7 linked regions of the Mus musculus genome follow. The protein of the gene in region 1 binds, or shares a complex with, the protein of each later gene. Links are inferred from orthologs where the notes say so. Each region holds a gene or a part of one and is shown on either strand. Other genes may lie near its edges.

Region 1 (3,500 bases):
AGGCTGCAGAGCCACAGATCATTACAGGTACGATCTGCTGCTCCCCCTGAGCCGTACCAGAGGCACGGCCGGCCATTCTGCAGCCGCCGCAAGCACCTCCACCTCCGACCGACTCGCGTTCTAGTTTCTCTTTGGATTTTAATCATGGGCATTTGAAATTTAGGATTGCAAGGTGTTTTCTAGGGTTTTTTGTTTGTTTGTTTATATTTTTATCTTGTGTTTTTTATGTATCATTACATAAAAAGGTTAGGCATTGTAACCTATCATTCTAGTATGAATCTTACTTGAATGACATTGGATCTTAACTGTGACTGGAAAGTCATTCTTTCAGTTGGTTTGTTTTGCTAACTACAGATTTTAAAATAAAAAGATTCATTTTTTCCCCTTCCCTGCCATTGGAGTTTAAAATTACATATTTGTTTTTATTTGCTCTTTATACTTAGCCACTCTCTACCGCCTCTGGCAAAAAGTTAAAAAGAACTAAATATAGAATAACTACAGTTTTAGGATTTTGAGGAAATGATTCACAGTGATAGGACTTTCATTTAGTGTACACACACACACACACACACATACACACACACACAGACAAGTACATTGTGTTTAATGGGTTTTAACTTGTGGATTCTGTCCGGTCTCTGTCTTTTCACTACAGGAAGTCACGATACCACAATACGATTATGGGATCTAGTGGCTGGAAAGACACGAGTGACACTGACGAACCATAAGAAATCAGTGAGGGCTGTGGTCTTACATCCGCTACTGTAAGTGTGCTGTGCTGATAGCTTGCCTTTCTCCGCGTCTCAGTGACGCTGAGGCCAGGGGGGCCTGCTGTACCTCTGCCTGTGCTGCTTAGGACGGCCTTTCAGTTCCCATCTGCTGCTGTTGCCTCGTGCTCTGTGGAATGAAGGCCATAGCCCCTCTACAGAGTGACAAATAAGGCCAAGTTGTGGTTAAAGCTGAATGTCAGAGTAGGCGGGAGTCGTGTCTGGACATACAGGGTACTGGACCCACTTTGACCTGTCCAGATTGTTTCACATATGGTGTCCTGTCAGAGACAGAGCAGAGTTAGATTCCTAAGGGAGAAGTAAGTGTGCAGGAAATGGAGGGAGAGACATCAGCACTGCGGTTCCCAGAGAAGGCAGGCCACTCCTGACTCAGCTCATCCCACACACATCCCCCAACCCTCCCCCACTGCTCCCTGCGCCTTCCCTTTCTTGTCCCCTTCCCTTCCTTTCCTTCCTTTTCTCTTGTCATCCCTCTCTTTCCTTCCCTTTCAAGATTTTTTTTGCCCTGTGTGTGTGCACATTTGTTGGGCTAATTAGTGTGTAACACACTAAAGAAAACAAAACACTGCTCTGGGATCTAAAGTAGTACATCTCAGCAGCTGGACAAGGCTGGTGGAACTTGGAGCGAGGATAGTGATGAGTTTGTACTGTGGTGAAGTTACATTTTACTGAGGCTGTCTGGAGCAGTGAGCACACAGAGCTTTTTCAAAGCTGCGAGTTTTCTTTGATACAGTGTACTTTCCCATTAATTCCTGTCAATCTTTGTTCTAGTTACACATTTGCGTCTGGTTCTCCAGATAACATAAAGCAGTGGAAATTCCCCGATGGAGGCTTCATTCAAAATCTCTCTGGTCACAATGCAATCATTAACACGCTGGCGGTCAATGCTGATGGAGTGCTTGTGTCTGGAGGTAACACAAGGTTTCTATGGTGTGTTGAGTGTGCCCTTCTGTTGATGTGAGTGAGTTAGTATCTAAAGCATCACACTGTTGTAGTGACACACCTACTAGGGTGTATGTGCCTGTTTGTAATGTGCCTGCCGTCGTGCTCAGTGGTGTTCCATGCAGCATGTTGCATAGTTTAGACATCTTTGCATTCCCATGTGATGAAGGTAGGGATTTACGCTAGGAACTGCCTGATGTTTGGTTGGATTTTAAATGTTATGGTGTCTATAAATTAGAGACTTAGAGGGAATTAGAGAGAGAGGGAGGGAGGGAGGGAAAGAGATAGTGTGTGTGTGTGAGTGTGTGTGTGTGTGTGTGTGTGTGTGTGTGTGTGTGTGTGTGTTGCTGGTGTAATGTTCAGCTCCTGGGTCATCTGAGCTGTTGAGGGGATAGAAGTAGAGCTGTGTGTTTCCCTTGCAGCTGACAATGGCACCATGCACCTTTGGGACTGGAGAACTGGCTATAATTTTCAGCGCGTCCATGCAGCTGTACAGCCTGGGTCTTTGGACAGTGAGTCAGGAATATTTGCTTGTGCTTTCGATCGGTCAGAAAGTCGGTTACTAACGGCTGAAGCTGATAAAACCATTAAAGTTTACAGAGAGGATGAGACTGCGGTAAGTTCTTAGTGTCCATCTCTGTCTGTCTGTCTGTCTTCCTATCTTCCTTCCTTTTTAGTTTAATTTAATTTTATATTTTATATTTAGAGACAAGGTATCACATGGTACCTCTGGCTGGCCTGGAACTCACTTTGTAGCTCAAGTTGATTTTAAACTTGAAACTGTCTTCCTGCCTCTGCTTCTCCGATGCTGGGATTTTGGGCATGAGCCAGCACACCCAGCTTTCACATGCATTTTAAAGTAAAAGAATTGCATGTCAATTTGACAAGGACTGCTCATTTGAGTACAAAAAGAAACAGACTCACTATAGTACCATCAGTTTCATCCTCTGGATAGTGATCTGACCTGCTCAGGGCTTCTGTGTGGTTTCATTGATGCAGACACATCAGTGATAAAGCATTACGTTTTAAGTACAGTTCTGCCTCAGTACAGTTCCTGGGAAGGAAATGATACATTAATCGTGGCAAACAGGAGACTGCTGAGGGAAGGAGGGTAGAGGTAGAGCGCTGGGGTTGCTGTAATAGCTAAATGGAAATCCAACCGAACCCATGTATCCCTGGTCAAACTTGGATAATGCCAGAAGTTTGTCAGCTGTTTCTAAAATTTTTCAAGAGCCACTCAGCACGTCCTGCCAAGCAAGTACTATGATTTAGCAGAGACAGATCTTTTCATTGAAAGGAAACAAACTAATAAAATCACACTTTGTTTACTGTTCTGATTTTAGACAGAAGAAACTCACCCAGTCAGCTGGAAACCAGAAATTATCAAGAGAAAGCGATTTTAGTGTCTTCATGGCTGTCCTGTTCGTGCTTGGTGTTGATGAGGATATCCGGTCTTTCATGAAAGCTCACTTGCAGAAAACATTGCTGCTTTGTATTTTACAATAAACTGCTCCCATGTCCCTCACCTGTGTTTTATTTCTGAAATAAACAGTTTATAGTTTTAGAAGTAAACGGTAAATATAAAGAATTCAGGCATGTTGAGGATTGTTGTTCCTAACACTATTTTGACTGGGTTTTTTTTGTTTGTTTGTTTGTTTTAGTTTTGGTTTTTATTTTACATGTATAGGTGTGTTTTGCCTGCATGTACATTTGTGTACAACATGTGTGTCTGGTGCCGATGAAGGCCAGAAGAAGTTGTCAGATCCCTGA
Region 2 (2,678 bases), on another chromosome or scaffold:
CCTGCAAACCAAAAGAAACGACAGTGAAACAGTAAACAATTAAAGGGTTAAAATGAAGCCTGACAAGGTGACTAAGCCTCTGATAGATCACTTCAAAGTCTGAAGCAGGTGCAGAGAATTTGAGTCCCTGTCTCAATAAATAAATAATAAGAGACAGGTATAGTATGGCTGGATGGCATATCCACAGGTATTGCCGTATAGTCTCTATATTTTAGGAATAAGATGTGTATTATGTTGTCTAAGTCTTGGTGTTGGTTGGTTTTATTTTTTTTTGAGACAGAGTTTCTCCTTGTAGCCCTGGCTGTCCTGAAACTAGCTCTGTAGACCAGGCTGCCCCTGAACTCAGAGATCTGCCTGCCTCTGCCTCCCAAGTGGTGGAATTAAAGGTGTGTGCCACCACCACCTGGCATGATGCTTATTATGACAAAATTTAAACAGAAGAATTAATATTGGATGGAGCGGAACTCACCTCTAATCCCAGCATTCAGGAGGCAAAGGCAGGAGGATTGCTGTGAGCTCAGGGCCAGATCCTCCCCCCACCAAGTAAACAAAAGTACCCCCAAACTCCTGTATTTTCAAATTGTCTGTCATTGTCCATTCTCTTTGGCTGTGACTGCTCTTACCCCATTCCTAAAATGGTTTTTTGAGAGTACAATCTACATCAGGCTATACATGTATCCTTAAGGGATACCATAAAAGAAGTACAATTATCTTTTCTGAGTTGTTTGTAACGTGAGAAAGTGCACAACCCCCAACGTAAGGCAGTAATCAGCAGAAAAACACAGGTGACTAGAAAGAGAGGTGTTCTTTCTATCTATCTATCTATCTATCTATCTATCTATCTATCTATCTATCTATCTATCTATCTATCTATCTATCTATCTATCTAGTCTTGAACCACATCTGACTTCAAGGAATAGCTTTTGAGTGACCTAGAGCAAACAACCCCTCAATGGGTTGAGAAACGGGAGCCTGGAGCTCGTTGTGGGAGCCATTAGTGAGACTACTGGGGCTGACACTGATCACCAAAAATACTTTTCCCAGTGCCCAAATTCTAAGAGACAAAGCTGGGACCGCGGGGGAACCATGCTGCCACGTTAGCTTCTAGGTACAAGAGTTAATTTTCCTGGTTGCTTGTAGTTGAAACCCTCTTGGATTTCCCCTTCTTAGTAGCCCAGAGCCGTGGGATAACTCTCAGAGGCCGTTTGCCATCGTCCTACAGCAGCCAGGCAAAAACAAAACAAACAAAACAAAACCCTAAAACAAACTCTTTGGACTACTTGTTCCAGAATGCAACGCTCAGACTAGAACGTGATCACCCGAGAGCCACTAAGCGGACCATCATGCAACACTCTTCGAAGTAGGCGGGCTCCGTGAGGAGACGGCCCAGTGTTTCCTAGGCAACTCCAATCCCGCGACAGACGGCACTTCCGCTTCCGCCTAGGAAAAGACTGTCTACTCCTGCGTCTCGGTGGCGTCTTTCTCCCGCGCCTGCACGAACTGAGGTTTTGCGTGGCGGCGGCGGCACCGGCAGCGGCAGCGTCTCTCACTTGAACGCCGCGAGCGGCAGCTTCTCGTCTGTGTCCTGACCTCGGAGCCTACGAGCAGAGCGGCGCGATGACGGACCGGTACACCATCCACAGCCAGCTGGAGCATCTGCAGTCCAAGTACATCGGCACGGGCCACGCCGACACCACCAAGTGGGAATGGCTGGTGAACCAGCACCGCGACTCCTACTGCTCCTACATGGGCCACTTCGACCTCCTCAACTACTTCGCCATTGCCGAGAACGAGAGCAAAGCCCGCGTGCGGTTCAACCTGATGGAGAAAATGCTGCAGCCCAGCGGGCCGCCCGCGGACAAGCCCGAGGAGAACTGAGGTGAGCGCTGCCCAGTCTTCCCCGTGTGCCGGCTGCGAGCCTCCTTGCTCCTGCATCTCGACCATTCCGTGTTGGCTGTGTCGCCTGACCTGCGTACCTGTGGAGGATTCGGAACAAGTCATGGAGAGACTGTCCGGGTCCGCTCCTTGTGAACTGTGCAGAAGGAGTGATCCCAGCATCGGCAAGCGAGGGAGAAGACTGCACGAGAGTGATGCGCATTTCGAGTCTGCTTTTCGATAGTTGATGTCTTCTTGCCTTTTTAAAAAACCATATATATATAAAGTTTAGGGTTTGCTCTATTCTTTGGTATGGATTGCTGTGTTCTTTGGGAGGTTATTAGGAGAGGGTTCTGTGGATCAAGGTTTTGTGAGAGTATAAATAGGAAATGGGGGCAGAAGCACAGGGCAAGTCCTTAAGTCGTCACACACACTTTTATGATATTATCCCACCTCAATAGTCTTCACGCGTACAGTGTGTCTGGTCCCAAAGAAACCTTGAAGCGCGGAGATTGCCCATATCCCTTTCCTACCCTTCCCTTTATGCGCTACCCCTTACCCCTTTTTCTTGATGATTACCCTTTGTGTCTTCAGAAATGATAAACTGGCAAACAAGTGGTATCACGTCCCCATCCTGCTCAGCGCCCCATTCCCCCCACCCCTCTTCCCTTTTCACCAGAGCATTTTCCAAAGGTTTGAGGGCATACATTATGCCAGCTTGAAGAGTTTACAACTTTAAAAACCATGCTTACAATGCTACTTTACTGAGATGTCATTTGAGAACAGATTTTAAGGAATCAAGA
Region 3 (3,500 bases), on another chromosome or scaffold:
TTTTCAACTTCTCTGATCATGTATCAGCTAATTTACAGCCTCATTTTCTGGTTGTAACTTGTAAATTGGAGTTTCATATGTTTTAATCTTATAAGCTCAAAACTTTCTCTTACTTGCCTTGGGGATACACAGTCTCTAGACTTAAAATATGGGCACAAGGTATGCTCTGTGGAGGAGGGTACATTCACACACTGGGTAGGGCTACTCTGTCCCTTTGTTATTTAGCATTGAGAACATGTATCTGGTCCCCCTAACCTGCCTTTCCTTTAACCTCCTCGTATCTGGTGGGTAAACAGTTTGCCCTGGAAAGGGAGCAAGATTCCTTAATGGCTCTCTCGTTTCTGTTTCCCACAGGCCAAGATGCCCTTCGATGCCAACAAGCTGTACTGTAGTGAAGTGCTGGCCATCCTCCTCCAGGACAATGACGGTGAGTGCCCTCACAGAGACAGGCCAGGCTGGGAGCCACACTCAGTCTCAGATCCGGTGAACTTGCCTTTGGCATCGCCTGGGCTCTCTGCTTGCTCTCCGTGCAGCTTTTGTACTCTGTCAAGCTGTATTGATTTTGTTAGCTGACGGATCAGTGGTAGACGGCTGTAAAATCTGACAGTTGGCTTCTTTTTTTTTTTCTCCCTTTATTTTCCTTCTTTTAGAAAACAGGGAATTGCTGGGAGAGCTGGATGGCATTGACGTGCTTCTTCAGCAGTTATCCGTGAGTACCTGTTCCTGTGGGCCTGCTCTCAGTGGGAGGTAGAAGTAGAAATATGGGAAGGGGCAGCCACATGGGGACCAAGGGCAGGTTGGAGGTCACACTGGAGCACAGGGCTTACCTTTTTTTCTTACTCACTGGCCCTTTCTGATCGAGTGTCATGGTGAAACTGGCACAGCCCTTCCCAACTGCTGATCCAAAAGTAGGGAGAAGTAGGGAGCTCTCCTCTGTCCCCAGCCAGGATGAGCCAGTTGTGTTCCTTTCTAGCACCCAGCACGGTTCAGCTCCTTCCCCTTTGGTCCTTCCCTAGAAGAGTCTGTCTGCTCACTGAGGTTCCAGGGGAGCGCAAGGAGAGCAGTTTCCAGCTCCATGGCACGAGGGTCGTGGTGGTCGGGACAGTAGGGATGGTTGTGGCACTGCAGGCGGGAGTGGGAAGGTGGAACGTGCCTTTTGCTGGTTGAAAGCAATGTAAATCCAGTTGAAATGTTACCTGCTGGCAGTCTGGAAGTGCCATCAGGGTTCCTCCTCAAAAACCTTATCTGTGTTACTCCAAAACAGCACTGAAAATAGATCATTTGGATACAGGCTGAAGAGTGTTGAGTGTCTGAGACGGCAGTTTGCATACAGCTTTCCTGCCGTGCCAGCCGCTGAGTGACTTGGCCTCCACCCTAAAAATAGAGCTTTGTGGTGGGAAGCTGTTTGCGGTTCCCATGAAGTGCTGTGCAGTCACTGATTGCAGCCCCTATGGGGCCACCTGCCCAGCTGGCTCAGGGGCTCTCCCAACCCGTGCTCAGCGCTGACATGCACAGCTGCCCAGATGCATGCCTGGGCCTCGGAGCCCCTGCTATTGAGTGAGGGGAATGCAGCAGCCGCGCTGTGAAGAAGCACCTCTTCACCTAAGATAGGATCGGCTACTCTGGGTTGTGGGTACCGTAGAAAGGGGGTGAAGTGGGGCTGGACGGAGCAGGGACAAGGCTGTAGGGCTTTCTGCCAGAGTTGGTTTTGGAGCTGAGCTGTGGTTTCAGACGTGTTCCCTCTCAGTTTCACTGTGTGTGTCCAGTATGGCCTTGTCTCTTTCTGATTTTCACAGAGGCCAAGGCCTGAGGTGTGCTGTTTTGTTTGGCTGACTTGCTGCCTTGACGCTGTCAGTCAATCTCGGCCCAGTGCTTGGCTCAGTGTTTTTATGTGAACTTGTATATCTTTATTTAGTGCCCACACCTAGAAAGCTCAGTTTCTCTAAGCTGGAAACTGGCGAGAGCTTCATTAGTAGAGTTCACTTTCCTTGGTGGGCTTTGGAAACTGTAGGGTGCGCATTTTTTAATGGCTCCGTTCTACTCTCCTTGGCAGGTATTTAAAAGACACAACCCCAGCACCGCTGAGGAGCAGGAAATGATGGAGAACCTGTTCGATGCGCTCTGTTCCTGCTTAATGCTCAGCTCCAATCGAGAGCGCTTCCTGAAGGGCGAGGGGCTGCAGCTCATGAACCTCATGCTCAGGTTTGCCCCAGTCCTCACTGTGCCTGTCTGTCTGCCCGGCACTGCTAGCCTGACTTTAGGATGCGTAGCTGTGGTCCTTCAGTCCCTTGAGTTTCCCATTCATCCAGACAGTGTTCATTTAGGGATGTGTCTGAGCTTTCCTGAAGGGTGGGCTGGCACATAAAGCTGTGCCTCGTTTGTGTGCCGGGTGTCAGTTGGTGACGCAGCCACTGCCCTGAGGATCATGTCCTTGTTTCTTTTATTGTGTTGGTTTTGGAGAAAGCTAAGCATTACCTTTTGGGCTTGTTCGTCTCAAAATCTGTATGCTCCATAGATCTCTCTGTCTATATTCCTGCCGTTGACAGCAAAATATTCATATTTATTCATTCAGTAATGAATTCTGTGTGTGCCGTGTGCCTAAGCACAGGGAATATGAAATATGAAAGATGCTTCTACAACTGTGGGCTTATACTTCCTTTAATGTATCTTTTTTGTTCTGCTCTACTCTCTAAAGACAACACTGCTTCAGCTTCTCAGTTAGTCCAAAGAATCTTAAAGTTGGAAATAAAGTGGAGAAGTGGCTTGTTTGGGTGTTTTATTGAGAAATGTGGCTGGGAAGGAAAAGAGAGTTCCTGAGGAGGTGACCAGAATGGAGTACCACTAAGGGACAGCATTTGAAATTGAGAGGCTCTGGGTGCTGCTTGCAAACACATTAGGAATTTTCTAATCATGGAATTCGTGGAGTTGAGCCGGGGTCAAACATCGTAAAACCTCTAGTCACATGCAGTGACAACTGAACAAAGATGTCTCTGAAAGTGCCTTACAAATTGGACGTATACTTATTAAGCATAATTTAGACTGTGGGTGTTCATTCTGTTTTCTTTTTTTTTTTTTTTTTTTTTTTTTTTTTTTTTTTTTTAAAGATTTATTTATTTATTATATGTAAGTACACTATGTAGTTGTCTTCAGACACTCCAGAAGAGGGAGTCAGATCTCGTGATCGGATGGTTGTGAGCCACCATGTGGTTGCTGGGATTTGAACTCCTGACCTTCGGAAGAGCAGTCGGGTGCTCTTACCCACTGAGCCATCTCACCAGCCCCCTCATTCTGTTTTCTATTAGGATATTTTTAGTTACTGTGTTTGTTAAGTGTCTTGCCAACAAGGCCGAGTCCTCCCAGAAGCTAAAATGCCCCAGTCTGTCACCCAAGAGTAGCCCACCTTTGGGCAGATAGAGTCTTCTTGGTTTTATTGTCAGTACTACTATTATTATATCATCATTTATTATTATTTTGGTGGGAGTTACTTGTTTGTTTGATTT
Region 4 (3,500 bases), on another chromosome or scaffold:
GCTTAGCTGATCTTCCAGGGGTCCTGAGTTCAATTCCCAACAACCACATGGTTGCATGCAAACATCCATGTGATATGATGCCCTCTTCTGGCATCTAGGTGTACCTGCAGATAGAGTACTTGTATACATTAAATAAATCTTTAATGCTTTTAGCTTAATACCAATTTGGTATGGGGTAAGAACGCACAGTGGCTAATCTGGCCAATCTTCTTCCTAAAAGTTAGCTACATGGGCAGCATCAATGAAAGTACCTGGAATTCTTGACAAGTCTTGGTTATATTAAGCATTTAAAAAGAAAATATAAACCTGAATCCAAAGCCATTTTTCCTGTGTAAAATTCTACTTACATTTTGGCAAGCTTCTAAATGCTAGTATTACCATCTATCCACATGCAATCTAATTGTTAAGTGAAAGTCTTTATTCCTGGTTATAGATCAGGATGGCTGAACTACAGGGGCATGTGGCTTTCTTAATGCTAAGATTGATTCATTATTTTTCTTAGGTACTTTGGAAATCATATATTGATTTTGAGATTGAGCAGGAAGAAACTGAAAGAACACGAAACCTTTACCGACAATTGCTTCAGCGAACACAGCATGTCAAGGTATCCTTACTTTTTAAATAGTCTCTCATTTTGTTTGTACAGCAGTTTTGATGTTTGTAGACAAACTATTTTAAATGACTTTGTTCTTAGAGTCTGTTGTTCCCAGAGGACTTACAAATACTAAGCTTAGACCTGCCAGATCATTGTTTATGTTGCCATGCATCTCTTGGGCATCACAGAGTTAAAGAAGTTTTTTCTATAACTTTAAAACTATGTTGGGGCTGGAGAGATGGCTCAGTGGTTAAGAGCACTGACTGCTCTTCCAACGGTCCTGAGTTCAATTCCCAGGAACCACATGGTGGTTCACAGCCATCTGTAATGAGATCTGATGCCCTCTTCTGGTGTGTCTGAAGACAGCTTATAGTGTGCTCATATGCATAAAATAAATAAGTAAATCTTAAAAAAAAAAAAAAAACTACATCTAACATCTAAAAGCAGAAGACTGCTTCTCCACTGACACTGAGGCGTATGCTCAATGTATCAATCTGTGATTCATTATCAGTAGATACATCATGATCTGGAGAAACTAACTTTATGTTCTCTGTTTGTTTCTTCTGGGTGACTGACATGGTTAATTTTGTTCTGTTTTTTTTTTTTTTTTTGGTAAGGTATGGATCAGTTTTGCTCAGTTTGAGTTATCGTCTGGGAAAGAAGGAAGTGTGGCTAAATGCAGACAGATTTATGAAGAAGCTAACAAAACCATGAGAAACTGTGAAGAAAAAGAAGAGAGGCTTATGTTGCTGGAATCCTGGAGAAGTTTTGAAGATGAATTTGGCACAGTATCAGACAAGGAGAGAGTAGACAAACTCATGCCAGAAAAGGTCAAGAAGAGAAGAAAGGTCCAGGCCGACGATGGGGTAAGGGCCCAGTACCGGGGTTGTTCCCCCCATGTCAAAGGAGTAGAAATGCATCTGACTTTGCAATCTGTGCTTTGGAGTACTATTGGAATTTTTCAAAGCAGATGCAGGCAACCTGGATAAGGAGCCCCTTGTAGTCCAGCTACTAGGACAGGGCAGGGGCAGAGCCTTCTGAGTGAAGGTGGAGTCTAGGAACTATATGAAGCTGCTGTTTGTTGAATGGGGGTGGGGTGGGGGAGCTTCACCTTATAGAGGGAAACCAATCCTGAGGCTTTGTAGGGTAGAGCAAGTTTGGTGGGAATCATTGAAGACCTTTACACATGTCTAGAATGCTAGCATCTCATAAGGGTGGACTTGAGAGACTTGGCTTGAAGATGATCTAGTGCATGTTTTTAAAAGCCTGGACCTGAGGGGTGGAAAGTAGGAGATGAGGAAAGCCTCCATTTTAAGATAATATTTAGAAATAATAGCCATGCTCAGTTGGAACTGAGAAGAGCTAGGAGTCCAAATACTACACACTATGTGGCCTCTGCTACTAAATATTAAGTAAAAACTCAAATTAAAAAAAATTATTTTGAATGCTTTGCATGCATGGGTATATGTGTACCACATGCATTCCTGGTGTCCTTGGAGATCAGAAAGTGATATTGGACCCCTTAGAAGTGAAGCTACTGGGTGGTTGGGAGCCACCATGCAGGTGCCAGAAACCTAACCTGAGTCCTCTGTAAGAGCAACAGGTGCTCTCAGCGCTGAGCCACCCCTCTAGCCCCTCAAACACACGTTTTTACATTGTAAATGTACGACTGCAAGGTTTGTGGAGGCACTGAGTGTCTTAGGCAGTGGAGGCACTGCCCGTGGAGCCGCTGTGCTTAGATGTTTAGCTTCCTCCCACTTGGTCCTTCATTCTCATTGAGCCAGTGTAGTGCTGCAGTAACCTCATCTGCCCGGTGGCTCAGTCACTCCTTTAGGCTCAGCCCTTTGTTCCATCTACGGCAGGATCTGATGTTACTTTCCACAGCACCATGGTTGAATTGAGACTCTAGGTTCCCCAGACACAGTCTTCATTCTTCTGCCTTCTGAATGAAGCAGGCTCCAGCTTCTGTCTGCTCACCTTTGACCTCATGTACTTATTTCTGCAGTCTGACGCCGGGTGGGAAGAATACTATGACTACATCTTCCCAGAGGATGCTGCCAACCAGCCTAACCTCAAGCTCCTGGCCATGGCCAAGCTGTGGAAGAAACAGCAACAGGAAAGAGAAGCTGCCGAACAGGATCCAGATAAGGACATTGATGAGAGTGAATCCTCATCTTTTTAAATGTTATAATTGCTTTTTATAAATGAACAGTTTAGAACTTTGACTCCTAAATGTTTTTATGTATTTACTCAGTAAGGAGTTGTTTGGCATCTTTGAATTATTTTTTAAAATGCTCTTGGGTTTAACTATGGGTGAGAAACTGCAAGTAAAAGAATTTTTTTCTAAGTTTTGTTACTTGAGTCCGAGCATTTCTAGCATTTGCTCCTATTGTCTTTGTTAGATGGAGTTCATGTGCTTAGCACATACGTTGGGTCGAACTGCAGACTAAACTCAGTGTTCAAGGTCCATTCTCCAGGAATAGACACAGGTTTATCATGATGGTGTTCATGAATCTGAAACTTTTAGATTTCATGTCTCTAAAACCACAAAACTGGAGTCCAACTCTAACACCTCCATGTGGTGGCTGTACGTTTCCATTGATTTTCAGTTTTCTCAAACAAGCAGTAGTATGGTGGCACCTCATTTTGATGATTCCATTAGAAAAGGAGTATGCTGATGTCAATCTTGTTCCAACAGCACACCTTCCCCTGCCCCTACTGCCTTTTAGCATCATGTGTCTACTTCTCATAGAATTAAATGGACTTGGGCTAGTTTTCTCTCTGAATATCTGAACAGATTTATAGTGACTGTATTTTTTGACCCCAAGTCTTTGTCAGGAACATTTTAGTTTGGCTTCAGTTTTTCTCTCAAACTAGTTAAGTTTTGTAGTAGCTTGTTTAGAAA
Region 5 (4,052 bases), on another chromosome or scaffold:
CTAATGTCCCCTACTGCTTTCCGGATCGCAACTCAGAACTGAGCTTGACCCCACCCCCACCCCCCAAGGAAGTTTCTACTCTGAAGGGCAAATGCCAGGGACCTATTTTTCATTCTAACAGAAAACAGAGTTGGGGCTGGCTAACAGGCCCACGTCCAGGAAAAATAGAATCTGTGATCCTCCAGCTAGGAAATTTTCATCACACTTGCCCGTTGGTAATAATGGCATTAATCTGAGGGCAATAAGCAACGAAGAAATGAGGGTGCAAATGTAGTTTAGTCACGTACATCAAACCTTCACTTCCATCTCCAGCCCCACCCATGCCCAGGTGTGCTGTAATCCCAGTTCTTTGGAGCCTGGGGCTTGGAGACAAGATGGAAGCAAAGTCTACTCTTTTGTAGCCAGGATCTGCTTTGGACCATCCCTGGAAAATTTTGAGGGGAGTCTGCAAAGTATTTGTTCTGGAATCTCAAAGGCTCCAGGTCCCCAGGTCTTTGATGTTCTGACTAGTCAGACGCTTGGCCATCTTGAGCTGAGATGTAAGAAGTCTGCCTAGCCTGCTTCTTATAAAACCTAAAGGGCACAGAGTTCTCACGGAGCAACCTTGGTTCTCAAGCATCCAAACTAAGACTAAAACTCTTGCTCTTGGTTGATGTTGGGCATGGATTGATCACTGGAACTTAAACCCCAGAGGTGGGGGCCAGGGAAAGGTGAAGTACACAAACCATTCTGCTGTGATTCAGGTCCCTGGTACCAAACATAGTACATGACCCCTGACCCTTGCCCTAAAAACCCTTACTGCCTCCATCCTCCACCTCCACCACAGCACGGCAAAGCTGGGCCCCTCCCTGACGCTCCTTGTGACCCTAAGATTGTGTTTGGGGTTTGATGGATGTTCTGTTTTGTTACCAGGGTCTTGCCATGTAGCTCTGGATTGCCTTGTAGACTAAACCGTCCTTAAACTCCGTGTTCTGGGATTAAACTACTATCATGTCTAGATGGCCTGAAGATCCGTCTGCCCGGCTGTCAATCCATCCACCATTCTCTCTCTCCTTTTCTCCTCTTTCCCTCCCCTCTCCCTTCCTCTCTCCTTCGACGCATCCCCGCTGCGGCGGCTGCGCAGTGGAGGGTTAAAGCCTCCAGCTCTAGAAATCCGGAGGGAAGCCCAGGAGGCGCCCAGTAACCACGCCCAATCCCGTCCTGGTCCCGCTCACTCCGTTTCCTGGGGCGGGGCTAGAGAGACTTCCGCCCTGAACCAGGAAGCGGTGCAGGGAGTGTGGTAAGGGGGCGTGCCTGCCTTCAGTTCCGAAAAGCCACAGCGTCTCGCCCGGGTTGAATTTTGGTTTTCAGATCCGGCTCAGACAGGATCCTGAGACCCCTGGCCACCCCCACAGCTCATCCCCAGCTGCAGACGCGGATCTCAGGACAAGACTGGGTTTGCTGCCGCTCTGTCGCCGCCGGGACAGGTCAGGATCCAGGCCTTGTGGCCTCTACCGGAGCTCCCAACTCCGCCGCCCCAGCCATGGCACAGAAACCCAAGATAGACCCCCACGTCGGGCGGCTAGGCTACTTGCAGGCGCTGGTCACAGAGTTCCAGGAAACCGAGAGCCAAGGTAAGAGGTGTAGCGTGGGCACGAGGGACCCAGGAGGGTTCTGACGGCAGCCGCCGCCGCACAGGTCCGACCCCAGGGCTGCTTCCCATTGCAGATGCCAAGGAGCAAGTCCTCGCCAACCTCGCCAACTTCGCTTATGACCCGGGCAACTACCAGTACCTACGGCAACTACAAGTCCTGGACTTATTCCTTGATTCTCTGTCGGAAGAGAATGAAACCCTAATCAAGTTTGCTATTGGTAAGAGTTAGGCTGCCCCCAACCCCCGTGCCCGCGCGCCTCCCCCCAAGTTATAGACTAGAGCGACTTGAGAGTCAGGCATGCCACTCGCCTATAAAACTAGCATTACGGGAGGCTGAAGCAGGAGGATGGTTGCGACTTGGGGGCCAGCCTGGGATTCAGAGTAAGACACTGTCACTAAACAAACTAGTGTTTGGGATGGGATCTCATCTAGGGCAGAGCTGCCGTGTGTGGACCACCTACCTTCTCCTCCTCCACACATTATCGGGGTCACAGCTCATTCCAAACAAGTCGTGTCTTTCTTCCTCTTAGAAAAGAGATAATAAGTGAGGAAATGGGGTGAAACCTCTTTGAAAGAAGTTTAGTTTTTTGTTTGTTTGTTTGCTTGATTTTGATTTTTTTGAGACAGGATTTCTCTGTGTAGCCCTGGCTATTCTGGAACTCACTCTGTAGACCAGGCTGGCCTTGAACTCAGAAATCTGCCTGCCTCTCTGCCTCCCAAATGCTGGGATTAAAGGTGTGCGCCACCACTGCCCGGCTGGAGCTTGCCCTTGTATTGTTTACTGTCAAGAGGTGCAAAGGTAGCTTAGAACTCCTATAGTTGGGTTATTGTAAGGCCGTTTGAATTATTCAAGGTAGACTCTTTTACATTTGCTGTGTAGGTGTGTGTTTGCATGTGTGTGTGGATGAGTGTGAGTATGCATGTGCACCAGGCTGTATGCATGAAATTTGTCAAGAGTCAGTTCTCCCCGAGTACAGTGGTACATGCCTTTCATCCCCAGTACTGGGAAGACAGAGGTAGGTAGATCTTTCCGAGTTCCAGGCCAGCCTAGCGTGAGTACTGAGTTCTGGACCATCTAGGGCTATGTGGTAAGATGTCGTCTCTAAAAACTAAGGTAGTCGTTGTTGTTGTGTTCTCCTCTTCCAGTTGCTAAGGGAAGATCTCTGTGCCTTCAGAGTAGGGCAGTGCACTCCATAGCTGGGCCGTGAGCCTCCAGCTAATGGGGAGAGAGTGCTGGGGTTCCAGATGCTCGACACTGCATCTGGTTTTCTTATGTAGGTCCCTGGAACCGAATTCAGGTCATCAGAATTGTGTGGCAAGCTCTTTTACCTACTAAGCCATCTCCTCTGCCCCATGATAGATAGTCATTATTGGGCACCCTATAAGGAAGGTACTGGCCCAGGTTCTGAGGAGATGGTGAACAGGTTGGGGATTGTATTCTGGAAGGGGAGCTAGGTGGCGAATAAAACAAGCAAAGTAGAGATAAACAGGAACTCAGATGGAGCCATAGGAGGTGTGTCACGCTACTTACGCTACTTCCATTTCAGCCATCTTGGATATGCGATGTAGACAAAGCAGCTAAGCAGGAAGCTGTTAGAGGGAAGCTGATGTGTTAGAGGGAAGCTGATGTGTTAGAGGGAGGCCGATGTGTTAGAGGGAAGCTGATGTGTTAGAGGGGAAGCTGATGTGTTAGAGGGAGGCCGATGTGTTAGAGGGAGGCCGATGTGTTAGAGGGAAGCCGATGTGTTAGAGGGAAGCTGATGTGTTAGAGGGGAAGCTGATGTGTTAGAGGGAGGCCGATGTGTTAGAGGGAGGCCGATGTGTTAGAGGGAAGCTGATGTGTTAGAGGGGAAGCTGATGTGTTAGAGGGAGGCCGATGTGTTAGAGGGGAAGCTGATGTGTTAGAGGGAAGCTGATGTGTTAGAGGGAGGCTGATGTGTTAGAGGGAGGCCGATGTGTTAGAGGGGAAGCTGATGTGTTAGAGGGGAAGCTGATGTGTTAGAGGGAGGCCGATGTGTTAGAGGGAGGCCGATGTGTTAGAGGGAGGCCGATGTGTTAGAGGGGAGGCTGATGTGTTAGAGGGGAAGCTGATGTGTTAGAGGGAGGCTGATGTGTTAGAGGGAGGCTGATGTGTTAGAGGGGAAGCTGAAGTGTTAGAGGGAGGCCGATGTGTTAGAGGGAGGCCGATGTGTTAGAGGGGAAGCTGATGTGTTAGAGGGAAGCTGATGTGTTAGAGGGGAAGCTGATGTGTTAGAGGGAAGCTGATGTGTTAGAGGGAGGCCGATGTGTTAGAGGGGAAGCTGATGTGTTAGAGGGAAGCTGATGTGTTAGAGGGGAAGCTGATGTGTTAGAGGGAAGCTGATGTGTTAGAGGGAGGCTGATGTGTTAGAGGGAGGCCGATGTGTTAGGGATATTTTAA
Region 6 (3,500 bases), on another chromosome or scaffold:
GCCTCTGAGCTTGGGTACAGGACAGGGTGAAGCAAGCACTGTGCAAATGCTGAAACGATGTTTAAGTCTGTATTCAGACTCTTAGTGCGATCACTGATCTTGCTTACCCATCTCTTATCCACTGAGCTACGGACTCTTACCTTGACTGAATGGCAAGATAGATTGTACGGCGAAACGAGACTAGGTTGATTTCTGTTTTGTCATGAATAGTTACTTTTTGCCCTGAAATAAATTAAACATAACAATTATAAAAATACAAGTTTATTCTATAATCAAATTCAATAATTACAATGTTGTTTGTAAAACGGTATCTGTAGGATTAATGGAGTCACTGTACATCTTCTGCCTTATCATTTTGTTGGATCAGAGTCCACAACACCACCAAAATAATTATGTTTGTAATAATTATGCCATCAACACAGGATGCAATCTACTAGGACACAGAACAAAGAACCCCAGGAGTCCTAAGCCTTGGTTTAGAATAAAATTACAAAACTTATATTTACATGAGTATTTATCATTTTATTGTTTTATTTTATGTTTGCCTCTCTATTGCAAACTCATTTAGACACCATAGAAGGGGTTTTCTGATGCTGATGCTTCATAGGATATTATTTCTAGATTCATAAACAATGTTGATTAAGTAGATGACCTGGATGGGCTGAAATTCAGTTTAACAGAACAATGGGTTCTGCCAGGTTGGCTCTGTCCAATGTGTATATGTGTCAAAATCTGTTAATTGATATGAGGAAACTTTTTTTATACTTAATTATTAGTATTTTAAACAAGAAATTCTAAAGGGAAATGTAATATATAGAAATTTAGGTGACTTATTAAAGATGACAGGCTTCAAAGGAAAAAATGGAGAAATACAATCTATTTTTTGTTGTTTTTGTTTTCATAAAATGTCACAGAACGGGGGCTTGAGAGATGGCTCAGTGGTTAAGAGCACTAACTGATCTTCCAGAGGTCCTGAGTTCAATTCCCAGAAACTACATGGTGATTCACAACCATCTGTAATGGGATGTGATGCCCTCTTCTGGTGTGTCTGAAGACAGCTACAGTGTATTCATATACATAAAATAAACAAAATCTTAAAAAACAAAAAAGTTAAAGAGCAACAATTTAACTGTAAAACATACTATATAGATATATAAAAATATTATACACACACACATATGTATGTATGTGTGTGTGTATCCTGGCTTATGTTGCTACTATTTTATGATACTCAACCAAAGTAAAGGCTGAGCTTGTTGTTCTGTGGAGTGATGTAATCAGAGCCGAAGAGGAAGAACGTGAATCTGTTTCTGTACAGATGTAGTTGTTGGCCTCCCTGCTTTATTTTGCCAAAATGAACAGCAAGTATCTAGTCATTCACATCTGTCACACACTTGCCAAGGTTACATAAATCACACAGCCTCTACATGAATGTACCCTTAGAACTGAAGGTCTAAAATGTCACATTAAAATTATGTTGTTAGGAAAAACTGAACGTCCTTGTTTAATACTTTAGGGACTGGTGTCCTGCTGGTGTGCAGTGTTCTGTCAGAGAAGGTGCTGAAAAGTGTCCCTTGTCTTCTCCCACAACACCCCAGGGCATCCTTCACAATCCTTCCTCGGTGAGCAGAGAGAGCCACTCTAGAGTGGTGCCTCAGAACTCACCTCATCCCAGAGTGTTTACAAAGCCATACTTTACCTCCTTCCTCGTCTTCTCCTTCCTCCTCCTCGTCTTCCTCCTCCTCATCTTCACTACTTCCAGCTCCTTGGTCTGTGTTTGAATCACTGTCTCCTTCGTCAAGGATTTCTACAAATCAAAGTCAATATAAGAAGAAACAATAATTAATGAACTAGATACATGTACCCCATCCTGAGGAGTGAATCTAATTTTAACTGTTTACCTACTAGCAACCATAATCACACAAGCCTCAGGCTATGGCAAGGAAACAATTAGAATGATCTGATGTTAACAAGTTGTGTCATTCTTTGCTAGGTGAAACGTGCTCATGGAAACAAGGGAACGCAAGAGGACAGAAGAGGCACATGATGTTTCTGAGTGGGTAAGAGCACCAGGAAAAAACTGGAGCTCACAGCTAGCATTTCAAAGTTTAAATGCTATCTTCAGAAAGAGGGCAGTCTATGATGAAAGCTAAAGCCAGCAGAATGCAGAGTTAAGAGTGGACAGAGCGATACGGGAGGGGAACCAGTATCTGTGTTCACTTAAAATAAGTAGAATGAAAATTATAAATTTAAACAGAACTTTTAAATTGTATATTACAGTCAATCAAAAGTCTTTTCATATGTAAAACTAAAACAAGTTTAAACATCATAAAACTGGTAAAGCCATCTTTATTATTTCCTAAATAAAGTGTTTATTTAGATCTAAATGAAGGCCCATGAAAGATGACAAAGAGCATCAACCACATCAAAAGTGTAATGCCAAAGTCGGCCACAATTCTATCTTGCAGTGTTGCTGTCAGTGCCCACCAGCATGGCATTTTCTCATTTATTATAATCACTCAAGTTTTAGTACAAAGTTTTAACTCACTTTTAGAAACTTCTAATTTCTTTATATTTTGCAGAGCAGTGTAAATCAGGAAGTCATATACTTAATGTTAGCGGAGAATATCATGCTGCAGGAACAATCATTTATTAAGACTACAGAGCTGCTATTTATACTTAGCCCTTATCTGACAAATCTTAAAACCATTTCTTGCAAATGCAACTCCAAGAAACACTCCAGTGTCTAGCTGATTATGCAATGAGCACAGACTTTGAAAAGAAGGAACTATTTAGTATTCAAAAGTAGGAAGGCAGGCACTCCTGCTGTTTTCCCAAATGCTGGCAAACCCAAGCCACCAGTACACCTGGGTCACTCAGAGGTGCTAATTACCAAAGCTGTGCTCACTTCCTGCTGGGGTCATTTTTTATGCCAGTTCCAGGGGAACATTTTACTAAAGATGAAGGTCAAATGAACTGTCTGATAGGTTACAGCAGCCTCTTTTCTCGCTCCTTTAAAAATCAACTTCCCAAAATTCGGTAGGCACTGGCAACTAGATTTCATCAGACTTAAAACAGAGTTTCAGAAAAAGTCTATGATTCCCTAGGGGAGCCTAAAACCTGTCAGACGGCCTGTGAGGTCAACACTATGTTCCTAATCATTCTAAGGTATCAGCTGCCCTCTCACTGAATTGCTATTTACAATAACAGGCAAGAGCAATGGGGTTAAAATTACTGCAATCTAAGCACAAATCAAGACACCAAAATGGACCAGGAATCAATGCTGCTTTCTGCCACACTTGCAGAAGAAAAAAAGCCCATTTAAATTATGAATGCTCTAGATGAAGATGTAAAATAGAAATTTTATTACATCTTGTACTTGGATGACAATGTAGCACTTATATTACAGAACGATGGCCAGTGTATGGCTCCCTACAGGACAAGGCTGGGGTAACTGCCTGAGCTTAAGATAAAGTGGCAACCTTTCACTTTTATTTGAA
Region 7 (2,505 bases), about 20 Mb from region 1:
GGTTTGTTTGTTTCCTCCCTCCCACAATGAATAAATTTTATGAAATTTGTAATTAAAAACAATTAAGATAAAGTTAATTCCTAGAATTAGCTGTAGTTGTGTTTGTGAGCACTAAAGAGTATAAAGATACTCTATTGTACTATTGTTCTGTTGATTTTTGTTGTAAATAACTTTTTACAGGAAACATATTCAAGATTTGAACTGGCAGCGAAAGAACATGCAGCTTACAGCTGGATCTAAGCTGAGAGAAATGGAGTCAAAGTGAGTGTGTGACTCCGTGTTTCATGTGTGCATGGACTGCCGTGGGAGTCACAGAAGGGCCATTCACATGTCTGCTGTGTGCTGAGGAAGGGGAGGCATACAGAGTAACTGACCGCAGAAAGGGCTGACTTACTGCTCAGTGCTGGCATCACAGCCCCAGCTCCAGGACGGCAATCTTGTAGACTTTGCCTAATTTGTGCCTTAGTTTGTTTGCCCCTGTTAATGCATAGCCTTCTGCACACACAGATTTATAGAAATCCCTAACTGTATGGGCTGTGTGTGCCCATAAATGCCTTAGTCCTCACATGTTGGAACTAAGGAAGAAAGATTGTGACTTTAAGTCTAGCCTTGGCTACAGAGTAACACCGTCTCTTTAAAGAAAAAGGTTAAATGCATAGTGTGGTGATGCTTGCTTACGGATTTCTGTCTTCCCGGTCTCTCCGTTGCCCACAGCATCTTCTCACCATGCTCTCCATCTTGAGATGCCATGCCGGCTCCTTTCACAGCTCTCTCCACGCTAGTGCTCTTTACATTTGTCCTGGAGATTTAGTTACAGGAAATAGTGGCTAAGGCTATGGGGTTTGGTGGTAGTGGTAGTTTGTTTTGTCAATTCCAGAATTTTGTCCATCGTGTAAACCTCTGCCTGTGTTCTTTTAATCTTATGCTGTTTTCCTGTCTCTTCTGTCTCCCTGAGTCTCTTGTTTCTGCTTATTTCTTAAGGTAACTATCATGAGACGATTGTTGGGTAACTTAAGTAATGCAGAGAGCCCCTGTGTACCCTTCCCCTGCTTTCCCATAACGTTGTTTTTTAATGGAAAGTTAAAAATGTTAGTGCCCATAGTGAAACTACATATGTTTAAAATAAACTGTGCAAGAAATTTTACATCCGCTCATTTTTCCCTCTTCTCTCTTTTTCCTTTGACTCTCTTTCCTAGCTGGGTGTCGCTGGTGAGTAAGAACTATGAGATTGAGCGGACGATTGTCCAGCTGGAGAACGAGATCTATCAGATCAAGCAGCAGCACGGGGAGGCCAACAAGGAAAACATCCGCCAAGACTTCTAATGACTCAGGCGACGTGGGCTCCGCAGACTCAGCGGGGACTTTCTCGGAGCGACTGTGGTGGTTACATGGTTAGAGACCATGGACTATGTAAACTGTTGTATTGCTTCTGTGTGAGTGTCTTAGCAAAATAAAGTTGTCAACATGTTGCTGTTTTTATGCTATAAAAACCTGGTTTTCAGAATGAGTATGACTTTAGAATAATTTTGACATATTTTGTAGCAGAATTTTTTTTTTAAGGCTTCAAATTTTGTAATGAAGCTCCTTTATTTTTAAGGCATCCAACATGTTCTGGAAGCTGGAAACCTTGAATTTGTGTTTTTTGTTGAATAAAGTTACAGTTCTAAGCATTTTTATGTGTGGCTATAGTGAACTTTATTGATGGTATTCAAAAGAATGAGGCTCCCTTCTAGGGATCTATGATAGAAATAGGTGTAGTGAGAATTGTGGAATTTTGGATTCTTTTTTAAAAATGCAGAAATATAAGAATATGTTTTGGGCTGGTGAGATGGCTCAGCGGGTAAGAGCACCCGACTGCTCTTCCGAAGGTCCGGAGTTCAAATCCCAGCAACCACATAGTGGCTCACAACCACCCGTAATGAGATCTGATTCCCTCTTCTGGAGTGTCTGAAGACAGCTACAGTGTACTTACATATAATAAATAAATAAATCTTAAAAAAAAAAAGAATATGTTTTCATTTTAATCCCAGGTGTGGGTATATGGGGCTGCTTTGAAGCAACTGATGTGCCTCGTGCTCTAGTAGAGGCATGGTTTGCCAGCTGCAGGTAGTTTCTGCAATTGGGTGACATTTGGGATAATGGAAACTTTTCACAGGGATATAAAGTCTAAGGCCCCAAGAGGCAGTGTTGGTTGTGGTTTGTGAGTAGTCGTGTTCAAAGAAGAAGCAAGAAGAAAAATTAGATTCAAGTCTCTCGCACGCTCTTTCTCACTCACCTTTCCTTCTTTCCTAACTAGTGATAGCGGTGAAGGCCAGAAGGATAAAAGGTGGGAGAAAGAAGAACCCACAAAGTAGCAAAAGCCAGCTGTAGTGGGAGATGCTCAGTGTTGGGGGCTGGGCTGAGTTGGGACAGGGACTCCAGCAGCAGAGGCCTCTGTCTTCCTCTCTGCCCTGCTGGGACGGCTGGGCTGGTTCGGGCCTTCTTACTCCTTGGAGGCCATGAAGG

The links.
Region 2: Plrg1 (region 1) and Sf3b5 share a complex: the UniProt entries of both Homo sapiens proteins name them as parts of the minor spliceosome. The link is inferred for Mus musculus from reciprocal best matches to the Homo sapiens genes PLRG1 and SF3B5.
Region 3: Plrg1 (region 1) and Ctnnbl1 share a complex: the UniProt entries of both Homo sapiens proteins name them as parts of the PRP19-CDC5L splicing complex. The link is inferred for Mus musculus from reciprocal best matches to the Homo sapiens genes PLRG1 and CTNNBL1.
Region 4: Plrg1 (region 1) and Crnkl1 share a complex: the UniProt entries of both Homo sapiens proteins name them as parts of the minor spliceosome. The link is inferred for Mus musculus from reciprocal best matches to the Homo sapiens genes PLRG1 and CRNKL1.
Region 5: Plrg1 (region 1) and Armc7 share a complex: the UniProt entries of both Homo sapiens proteins name them as parts of the minor spliceosome. The link is inferred for Mus musculus from reciprocal best matches to the Homo sapiens genes PLRG1 and ARMC7.
Region 6: Plrg1 (region 1) and Cwc22 share a complex: the UniProt entries of both Homo sapiens proteins name them as parts of the minor spliceosome. The link is inferred for Mus musculus from reciprocal best matches to the Homo sapiens genes PLRG1 and CWC22.
Region 7: Plrg1 (region 1) and Bcas2 share a complex: the UniProt entries of both Homo sapiens proteins name them as parts of the PRP19-CDC5L splicing complex. The link is inferred for Mus musculus from reciprocal best matches to the Homo sapiens genes PLRG1 and BCAS2.

The regions. Positions count from the first base shown.
Region 1 is NC_000069.6:83,069,038-83,072,537, forward strand, and holds the end of Plrg1 (pleiotropic regulator 1), read left to right. Parts: coding exon 1-27; intron 28-655; coding exon 656-764; intron 765-1,559; coding exon 1,560-1,699; intron 1,700-2,152; coding exon 2,153-2,346; intron 2,347-3,073; coding exon 3,074-3,133; 3' UTR 3,134-3,254; downstream 3,255-3,500. UniProt on the Homo sapiens protein: Involved in pre-mRNA splicing as component of the spliceosome. Component of the PRP19-CDC5L complex that forms an integral part of the spliceosome and is required for activating pre-mRNA splicing.
Region 2 is NC_000076.6:13,007,006-13,009,683, forward strand, and holds Sf3b5 (splicing factor 3B subunit 5), read left to right. Parts: upstream 1-1,444; 5' UTR 1,445-1,617; coding exon 1,618-1,878; 3' UTR 1,879-2,178; downstream 2,179-2,678. UniProt on the Homo sapiens protein: Component of the 17S U2 SnRNP complex of the spliceosome, a large ribonucleoprotein complex that removes introns from transcribed pre-mRNAs.
Region 3 is NC_000068.7:157,817,401-157,820,900, forward strand, and holds part of Ctnnbl1 (beta-catenin-like protein 1), read left to right. Parts: intron 1-354; coding exon 355-427; intron 428-650; coding exon 651-709; intron 710-2,053; coding exon 2,054-2,202; intron 2,203-3,500. UniProt on the Homo sapiens protein: Component of the PRP19-CDC5L complex that forms an integral part of the spliceosome and is required for activating pre-mRNA splicing.
Region 4 is NC_000068.7:145,917,701-145,921,200, reverse strand, and holds part of Crnkl1 (crooked neck-like protein 1), read left to right. Parts: intron 1-502; coding exon 503-604; intron 605-1,212; coding exon 1,213-1,461; intron 1,462-2,600; coding exon 2,601-2,777; 3' UTR 2,778-3,500. UniProt on the Homo sapiens protein: Involved in pre-mRNA splicing process. As a component of the minor spliceosome, involved in the splicing of U12-type introns in pre-mRNAs.
Region 5 is NC_000077.6:115,474,415-115,478,466, forward strand, and holds the start of Armc7 (armadillo repeat-containing protein 7), read left to right. Parts: upstream 1-1,252; 5' UTR 1,253-1,522; coding exon 1,523-1,613; intron 1,614-1,707; coding exon 1,708-1,851; intron 1,852-4,052. UniProt on the Homo sapiens protein: As a component of the minor spliceosome, involved in the splicing of U12-type introns in pre-mRNAs.
Region 6 is NC_000068.7:77,915,357-77,918,856, forward strand, and holds part of Cwc22 (pre-mRNA-splicing factor CWC22 homolog), read right to left. Parts: intron 1,808-3,500; coding exon 1,700-1,807; intron 223-1,699; coding exon 141-222; intron 1-140. UniProt on the Homo sapiens protein: Required for pre-mRNA splicing as component of the spliceosome. As a component of the minor spliceosome, involved in the splicing of U12-type introns in pre-mRNAs. Promotes exon-junction complex (EJC) assembly.
Region 7 is NC_000069.6:103,177,159-103,179,663, forward strand, and holds the end of Bcas2 (pre-mRNA-splicing factor SPF27), read left to right. Parts: intron 1-180; coding exon 181-261; intron 262-1,196; coding exon 1,197-1,323; 3' UTR 1,324-2,005; downstream 2,006-2,505. UniProt on the Homo sapiens protein: Required for pre-mRNA splicing as component of the activated spliceosome. Component of the PRP19-CDC5L complex that forms an integral part of the spliceosome and is required for activating pre-mRNA splicing.